Linked DNA regions of Mus musculus. The protein of the gene in region 1 interacts with the protein of each later gene in a biochemical or structural test. Links are inferred from orthologs where the notes say so. Each region holds a gene or a part of one and is shown on either strand. Other genes may lie near its edges.

Evidence for each region. The genes of interacting proteins can lie anywhere in the genome.
Region 2: the proteins of Tjp1 (region 1) and Cldn2 form a complex in vitro, tested with the Homo sapiens proteins (2 studies listed by BioGRID and IntAct, with this or other methods). The link is inferred for Mus musculus from reciprocal best matches to the Homo sapiens genes TJP1 and CLDN2.

The regions. Positions count from the first base shown.
Region 1 is NC_000073.6:65,368,196-65,372,862, reverse strand, and holds the start of Tjp1 (tight junction protein ZO-1), read left to right. Parts: upstream 1-1,618; 5' UTR 1,619-2,026; coding exon 2,027-2,053; intron 2,054-4,667. UniProt on the Homo sapiens protein: TJP1, TJP2, and TJP3 are closely related scaffolding proteins that link tight junction (TJ) transmembrane proteins such as claudins, junctional adhesion molecules, and occludin to the actin cytoskeleton.
Region 2 is NC_000086.7:139,799,085-139,803,683, reverse strand, and holds the start of Cldn2 (claudin-2), read right to left. Parts: upstream 2,877-4,599; 5' UTR 2,674-2,876; exon of another isoform or gene 2,660-2,673; intron 1-2,659. UniProt on the Homo sapiens protein: Forms paracellular channels: polymerizes in tight junction strands with cation- and water-selective channels through the strands, conveying epithelial permeability in a process known as paracellular tight junction permeability.

The DNA of each region.
Region 1 (4,667 bases):
TATAGTTCATGTTAGATAATTTAATTTGGTTACTCAAAATACCACTGGAAAAATTTTAAGAATGGTTACATTATTTGGAAATTTTTAATTGACACACTTTTTAAAGCAAAGTGTTCTGAAAGTGAAATGGTTTTCCTTGATTTCATTTTTTTTTTAAAGCCATGGCAAGATAAGACCAATCAGGTAAATTAGATGTAGACACGATGTAGTGATCTAATATTTAGCTTACATAATAGACTTGATAAACTGATTGACCAAAGAGAAAAGGGAAGGAGTAGGCGCATCAAACTGCTAGGCAGGTTTGCAGAGTGCATCTCTTATTAAATGGTAATGCCCTCCCTGGTATGAAAGTCCTTCAGGAACCGCTTTCTCAGCCACAGCACACCCAAGTCTTTTATAATGCTGTTTTCTCATAGGATAAATTTAATCACCCCCTTTGAGAGAACACAGGACACTTTGCCTGTGAAATAACTACACACACCACAACTAAAACAAAACAAAACAAAAAACAAAACTGACTTTAACTGTTTTCCTACATGCCGAGAAACAGGGTTTGGTTTGCACGATGCTCTTTTCTGGTTCAGCTGGCTTAGAGTTACAAAATACTTGACTTTGAAACCTTAATTGATGTTTACATTTCATGTATGGATATTTCCAAGTTAGAATTAGGTTTAAATTGGTCATATAGTTGAATTCTCAAAAGACAACAATAGTCTAAAAGCCGATGCTTCTGTCTCCCTCTTCCTTGTATGGCTACTGTAGCACTATGCTAGGTACTTTAGGATGTTATCTAATGTTACTAAATTTTTCTAATATTCCTTAAGAGCTTTGCAGTATACAGAATGTAAATTAATGAAGCTCGAAATAGTTTTCTACCTAATTTTTTTTTTTTTTTTTTTTTGGTTCAGCAAGACAGTTGGCCTAAGTTTGCACAGTGGCCTATTGAACTTGTTGAATTCCGCGTGTCCTTACATCCTTTTCTGGTTTAGAAAGGCAGGCAGCCTGCTCTGTCTCTTCAGGGGCCAAGAATTTCAGCAATCTTGATAGCCTAAAATATTCTATTGAGATCCCTGTCTAGCGAGGCGGGAGAAGGGGGCTGGGATTATCTCAGTGTCCAGATTTGTACCTGGTTTATTTAAGGCAGTCGGTTTGTCCTGAGCCTTCTAGAACGCTTCTGTTGTGCTTTAAACAAAAACATATCTCCAATGGGGTAACAGTGCCGAGACACATGGTGACAGTTGTGACCATTGTTACTTGCGAGGCTAAAGAAACCACAGTTGGGTATTGGCCAGGCCGACCTTAATTGTCACACTCCTGCGTGGGGCCCATCTGGGGTTGCTGGTTGAGGAGAAAGTAGACAAGTCTGTGTAGGGAGTCAAAAAGCTTTAGTACACAGGAGTTTGGGGTTCTCGGGGGTGGGGGTGAATCGAATTCTGCCGGATCTGTGATAAAAACAAACAGGATGGATCGCGCGGCAGCGGAAACCGCCTAGCAAGTAACTTGGGTAGCCGAGCTTTTCCTTCCGCGCGGGGGTCGGACCCGGCCTGGCCCCGCCCCTCGCGGAGGCCCCGCCCCCGCCGGCTGGGCATGCTCAGTGGCCCGGTCCGGCAGGTTTTGCGTGGCCGCCTGAGTTGCCCGCGACGGCTCTGCCCGCCGACGGCACGTCTCTCGGCGGCCGCGCGTTCCGGGGAAGTTACGTGCGGGAGCAGGCTTTGGAGGAGACGCCCGAGGGTGTAGGGGACAGCCGGAGGCCCGGGTACTGCGGAGCGGCGAGCCGGCGGAGGGCGGCGGAGGCCGAGCAGGCGGCCGGGTGTGCCCCGCGGAGAAGCCCGGGCGGGGCGGACGCTTCCCGGACTTTTGTCCCACTTGAATCCCCTCCCCGTGGGCCGGGCCTTTCCGGCCTCCCCCGCCCCTGCCCCGCTCGTCCCCGGGAGATGTTTATGCGGACGGTGGCGTGAGGAGCGGGCGGGCCGGCGGCGCGGAGTTTCGGGTCCGAGGAGCTTCGCGCGGCGCGGAGAGAGACAAGATGTCCGCCAGGGCCGCGGCCGCTAAGGTGAGAACCTCTCGGCCAGCCGGGCGGCGGGCTGGGCGGCGGGGGGCGGCGGGGGAGCCTCGCCCCGCCCTCCCCGCGGCGGCAGCCGGGGGCGACCGCGGCGGGGCGGTGAGGGAAGGCGGGAGGGCGGGCTGGGGGTGCGCCTGCCGCCCGGGCAGGTGCACGGCTGCCGGTGCCTGGCTCCGGCTCGCGCTGGGAGGCGACGTGCAACAGGTCCCGCGCCTGGAAAGTCGCCCCGGGTGAGGATTCTCAGGTCCCGGGAGCGTGTCTGCGGAGACCCGGGGGTGTCAGCTGCAGCAGGAGGGTGGGTGGGTAGCCGCGGGGCTGGCTCTGGAGGAGTGGTTGGTACCCGACGAAACCCTATAGTTTCGATCTGATGTCACCCGCTGCGGTATGCGCAATGGCAGCGATAAAGCTTGGAGACAGCAAAACACTCAGCTCTAGAGTAGCTATGGTTTATTTTGAGGTTTATTATTTATGTGAGGCCACAGAAGGAGGAAAGTTTTTAAGCACTTTAATTTCAACTTTCAGAAGTAGCACAAAGTGTCCCTACACATGGACAGTAAGATGGGTGCAAACCAAAAGAGCCCGGTGAATTCTGCACAAAACAACTTGCCTATTTTCCTGTGTGCTTTGAAGTGTGCTTCTTGACAGTGTGTTATATTATTATTACATTAGGCTAAAATTCTTAAAGATGAAGTAGAATCCTTCTTTTGTACGTTTTAATTAAAAAAAAATCCTAAAGTGCTTGCTTTTTCAATGACAGACATACAGTGTGAGAAAAATCAATCCGTTATTCAAACAGCTTAAACAGGTGGTGATTTTATGTAGTTTTCTATTTGAAATACTTAATCATAACCTTTGAGAATAGATGGAAATTTCTGAATTCTTGACAGGACCTTGTTTCTTTGGCAGATACAAGGTTTAGTATAGATTGTTTTAAGGAATAGAGTATTGCTCCTGTAGGAGTAATTTAGTTTGTATCTTTTTTTTTGAGCAAACATTGATAAGAGATCTAAAAGAAAGACTGGGTCCAAAAACTAGAATCAGTGCAACATTTGTTACTTTTAAAATATAAGTGATGATATTTGCATTTGCTGGGACTTCCTTTCCTGGGATGAAAGGCTTTGTTGCCATATTACACAGAATGTCAGTTTGTTTCAGAGTGTGAGCTCTGGTACTTGTTAGTCAAGACAACACACTTGGAAAGTGTTATTCCAAGAGAAGTGTTTCCAATAGCTTGCTGTGGCAAGGTGATTTAGAAGGTGTGCTTTTACACATAAATTATGGTATTGAGATCTTATGGCACATAGGGGCACCTCTGTAGTTAAATATTTGCGTCCTTAGCTGGGAACTGAAGGGTTATTTTCTTGGATGCAGTCTTACATAAAGCCAGGCCCTCCCTCAATGAGCTAGTGAATGCAGTGTTAACCAGTTGCCTCCTTCCCTAAGTCACATTTATTGTTCTCAGGGAACCCAAAATGCTTAAGCTCCAGCTCCATGGTTGTTTTACATAGGGTGCTTTTGTTTCTCCTACCCCTGTGAAGACATACAGACACTCGTTTTGCAGCCTGCTCTTGTGTTTTTGGCACAGCAGTTGTAGAACTTGAGTGCGTCAGTACTTTTCATTCTCCAGCTTTGTAAGGTCGAGTAGTTTTCACCATGCCGCTCCAGTCATCACTGCCTTTTGGATGGAGCTGTTGGGCTTGTTTCCAGGATATTGTTATTGCAATGAGTATAATTTATATAATTGTATTTACATTTTTGTATTGTACACCTGCTACTCTATGTCAGCTTATTAAAAGTGAAACTGCTATGCCAAAGAGTGCGTTTCAAATTCTGATATACACAAACTCTTACTCCAAAGTCTTTACCTAAGAATAAACACAGCAAATATTGGTGAGTTGGCCTGAATCTTGATGAAGGACATAAATCCAAGTCAGTGCCATAAAACTCTGTGGCTGACGAGAGTCAATAGATTTACCCATGGTCCCTGAATTGATGGTTAAGTGCAGCGACTTCTAAGGAGAGTTCCATTGTGGTGGTATAGAAAGCATGTTAGCTGAAGATGTTTATCTTACCACGTAGATGAATGCAAGGAGAAAGTCCTTTCAGAAAACCCAATTTATTATAAATTCAGAGTACTTTAAAATAGAGAATGGAGTCACATAGTCAGAAATAACATATTTATGGGCTGTTAGTGATTGTGATCAACATTAAATATGAGCTAAGATAGCGGGCGTGGTGGCGTACACCTTTAATCCCAGCATTTGGGAGGCAAGAGGCAGGCGAATTTCTGAGTTCAAGGCCAGCCTGGTTTACGGAGTGAGTTCCAGGACAGCCAAGGCTACACAGAGAAACCCTGTCTCGAAAACACCAAAATAAGTAAATAAATAAAATGAAAAATATGAGCTAAGATTAATCTGTGGGGGTAATTCAATTGATTCTCACAGTAATGCTATGAAGTGGAAGCAGAAAGCTTGTGATATGCACATTTAAGACAAGCAAAAGGGAAAACTGAATATATGTCAAACTAAGTATAGATCATCGGGAAAGAATCCCTTATTTCATAAATAGAACTACAAAGACTGGTATCCTGTTTTAAAAGTTTCTC
Region 2 (4,599 bases), on another chromosome or scaffold:
ACCTTGAACCTGTGCCAACCCTTCCACTTCAGCCTCTGAATGCTGGGAGTATAAGGATGAGCCACTGCAGCTGGCTTCCTCACATGTTCTTGATTTATAATCATAGTGCTGTTTTGCCAGATATATTTTCAAAATAAAACACAAATTTATCTTTCTCTCTATCTCCACCGTCCAACCCTTTTTAGACAATACAGTCAACATCACTTGTCCATTGGAACTCAGATTGGCCTCTGTAACTTCACTTCAGTCCTGTCCCTGAGACCAATCATCAAGATAGTCATGAGGGATCTTTCGAAAGTACAAATCCAGTCATAGCAGTCATGCTACACTTTGCCATGCTTAAAAGACTTTAGGAATGTTTGATGGCTTTACTATGAGGCTCAGTCTCCTAGGAAACCAGGGAAAGCTCTCTATTATCTGACCTCATACTTCTGAGTTTCATCTCTAGCCCTTAACTTCCCGTTTCATGACCCCCAACACATGTGCATACCAACTTAGCTGTATCAGAGTAGGTGCAGTTTCCTTCATCTGCCTTGCCAGCCACCATTTTACCTGGAGACTTGTTGGTCATTCTTTAGTGTTATAATCATCTATTTTTGAGAACTGTTCTTGGACCCTGCTCCACACCTTGCCTGGGGTGAGTTAAATACACTCAGAAAAGTACTCCCTTGAAGAGCGCTCCCTTGAAGGTTTTGTTAGCAAAGAGCCCCTGGCTCGCAGAGAAGCAGCTCGGGCCTCTGCTTTCTTGGGATGGTAACAGACAGAAGCTTGAGCTGGGCATGCTGGCACACAAACCTGGAATCCCAGTACTCAGGAGGTAGACACAGAAGTGTGCTGAGTTAGACACCAGCTTGGGGCTACACTGCGAAGTTCCAGGGAGTATTGGATAGCAAAACTCTGTTTCAAAAAAAAAGCAAACAGAAACAAAACAGTAATCCTCAGTTTCCCCCAAGGGAATCAAAGGTTCTCCAGGAGGAAATCCTATGCAGAGAGGCAGGCCTTACTTGGTAGTCATGAGAGAAAAGTATCTGTAGTTGAGTGAAGAAACTACCCTTACTGAAGGCTGGAATCTTCAGAAAGTGGGTTGCCATAGCTCAGCAGGAGGAAGGGACACTATCCGGGTTTATTCAAATGGAAGAAGTGGCTCCCTGCCACTTAATTTTCCCTTAGGGTCAGGAAGATAAGGTTGACATGCTGGCCAGTGACTGGCTGGTGAGGTGAGCCAGCCAGGAGTGATTCATCTTTGGTGAGCAGTAGCAGACACTGAAGCTTAAGGGTCCTGGCGGGGCGTCAAACGCTCTAGTTTCTTGTCTCAGTTGTGCCTAGAACCTGGGGAAGAAATCCCCTCGGTCCCTCATCCCTGGCTTAGCTCATCGACAAGGTTCTCTCACCTGGAAGCAGGTAGTGGCAACAGGTGACCATTTTAACCAACACAAGACTATGGAGCTGCTATTTGAAGTAGAGAGGGCTTTAAAAGAAACCTTTCTTTCAGGGCTTCTCCTAAAAGCCACATGCAGAGACTTTGGGGGATACAGAGACTCTAGGCCTTGCTTGCTGAAATTTGTCTCCTGGGAGTGAAGCCATGGCTAAAAGCTGGCCAAGAAAGTTTCCCTCAGGACCCCTACCTAATCTTCCTTAGAGGCGGGATTGGAACTGCGGGAGAAGATTAAGAGGAAAGGCTGACAGCAGCTCCCTACTTAACTCCTTCTCACCAGGGAAGTTGGTCTGATAGTCTCCCCATCTATGTTGCCTGGTGTCATCTCTTACAATCATGGATGCCACCGGACCATTAAGAGTCTCCGGCTCAAGGAAGGACATGATATAGCTTTCTGTTATGAATGGAAGCCATTAAAGCCTGTTTGCTGGCGGCCATCCTCATTTCTCAGTCCCTTGCTTTTAGAGTCCTCCCCCCCCCCCCCACCACCACCGCAGAGGAATCCGAGATAGTGGCTCCCTATCCCGGTAAGCTACTCCCACAAGCCAGGGTCTCGAGTAGGTGGCAAAGCCATCTCTTTGCAATCTACCTTTCTGTACCAGTTGATTGAGGACAGCTAAGGGACTTGCACCTAGAGTGATAGATTTCATAATTGTCTTTAAAAGGAAGCTTATTTTTGTCATGGCCACCAAAGTAAAATCAAGCATTACTTTAAAGCACTGAAAAACACAGAAAGGAAAGGTTTGGGGGACGAGGAGGAAGAACGACTGTCTCCCTATCTCTAAGTGCCACGAATGTTTCGGTTCCGACTCAATATTTAAGAACGCTTGAAAAGAAGAGTGTCTAAGGCAGGACATTTACGGAGAGCGATTGAGGGGTTCAAAAGGAGAGTCACAGAGGAACCCACCTTCGACTGCCCCCTTAACTCTCATGCCCAGGAGAGTATGGGAGCTTCCTGACCTGCTTAGCCCCCTGTGGTCCAGCAAAAAGGGAAAAGCTCTAGCTCCTGGTTCCTTCGTTTCAGATCTTCTGGCCCGTAAGACTGCAAATCGTGTCACAACTTGAAGAAAACACGTAGCGCCATGTGCCCACTTCCAAAACCTTCCCTCAACGGTCCAAGGTAGCCCACCCTGACTCCATCATGGGCTCCAGAAACAGCAGCTAGGTTTAAAAACCACCCGCCTAAGTGAGCCTGAAGGGTAGCAACTGCATCAGGATACTCACGACCAGATACTCACGGAGCCGTCCTTTCGAAGAGCTCTGGAAGAGACGCTTCTGGGGACAAGGACTAGGTCCAGAGAAAGGCGAACGGGGTCCAAGGGGTCACAAGCTGTGGTGATAAGGGATTTCTAATTATTAGCCACAGCTTTGTAAACTCCACCTGTAACTCTGAGCCTTCTTACAGATGGGAATGAAACCCTTGGAGGCTGGAAAAGATTGCGGTACTCTTACAAAAAACGTTTGGTGGGTTTTATATTTTTCCCTGTCAAGAACTCCAGCTGGGCTTTTGTGTGGTGAACCTCTGTGAGTCCAGGAGAAACCTTGGTGGGGAGGGGGATTTGGGCCAAGGAGGAATTTAGAACATTCCTGCTTTGGGGGGAGGGGAGCGAAGGGTGTTCTGTTCTGCCCATTAGGTGTTCCTGGCGCGCAGCCCCAAGGCTCAGCAGGAAGGAAGCCTTCATAAACACAGCCTGGGTGAACCAGGGCCCAAGTAGCCTGGCACTGCCGTTGTTTGCTCCAGGAACTCTTTAACTCACTGTGGTTCTTTGGTCAAGACCCGAGCCCTATTCTACCTATAAGATCAACTTCCCAAGGGAAGACACGTGTACCTTAGGTTATCAGAAGTTTTAGAATGAAAACCTGGCCTCTGGCAGGCCCAACAAACTAGGCTTCACTATTGTCTCTGATACACAAATTAAAGCCACAAGTTATAGCAAAAAGCATCGGGAAAAAAAAAGTATTTATTCAATATGTCCACTTTAGGAAGAAGAAGAACTAAAGGGCTCAGGGTTCCCGCAAGTCTATCTTCAGGGTGTTGACATGAGGATTAGGCTTCTGCAGAAGGTATGCATGATTGAGCAAGCCTGGCCAAGGTGCAGTCCTGTCCATCCTGGGCTGTCTGTTGTTTCTAGCTCTCCCCTGTCCTGCTAGGTGGTCTGACAACTCACAGGAAATCTCTGCCTAAGAAGCACAGCCGCCCTTTGCCTGTCCAAGGCTTTAGCCCTCTTCTCTTACCAGGCTTCAGACTTTCCCTTCTCCCAGCATGGGACCCCTGGGGAAGTTTTAATTCTTTCTGGTTGATCATTTCAAAAGCTCAACTAAACGAGACCTGGCCTCAAAAATAAAACAAAACAAAACAAAATAAAATAAAAGTGGGATATGAGTGCAGCCTTCCTCTCTCTCACCTCTCCCTTTCTTCCTTGCTTCCTTCCCTCCTTCCTTCCACACTCCCTCTCTCCCTCCTACAAAAAGAATGTCTTTTCCCATACTAAGAGAGGGTACAGATCCAGGCTCTGTGGGTTCAAAGCAGGTCCTGCACAGTGAGACTGATGATGCTACTATACTAGTAGGCCTCTTCTCCCCACCACCAAACACAGAAGCACTATCTACTATGCCATTTAAGCCCCTTCGAAAGTTCTGTATAGTGTATTGATTAAGGCTCCTCACTAAGTAGCTCTCAAATGCACCCCAAGAACTTGAAGCAATCCTTTTGACTCTAAAGTGTGCACACAAACCACTTTGTCTGATTCTATTGATAAGAATTCAGAGAATAAAATATAAAAGAAGGAAATGGGGTCCCCCCCCCCATAATGCCACTGGCCAGCCGTCAACATTGCTAACATTGGGAAAGCATTAACGGAAATGTGGTTTATCAAACTGAAGCACACACTATTTACAATTCTGTAACCTCTCATTTCTAAAGAATGTATCGTGGATCTCTTCCCATGTCAATTGGAAACCAGAGCACCTATAGTACATTCCATCATGTAAAATGATTTCTTTAGCCACAACCAAACATTTTGTCATATTTCACTTTAGCTGCTGAAAAAAAAAAAACCAAAGCAAAACAAAACAAAATCCCATCTTTCCATAAATTCCTAGGCCAAGAATTGTTTGATTAGAGAATCTTTACTGTTTTTTTTTCTTTTATTTATTAATTTTTT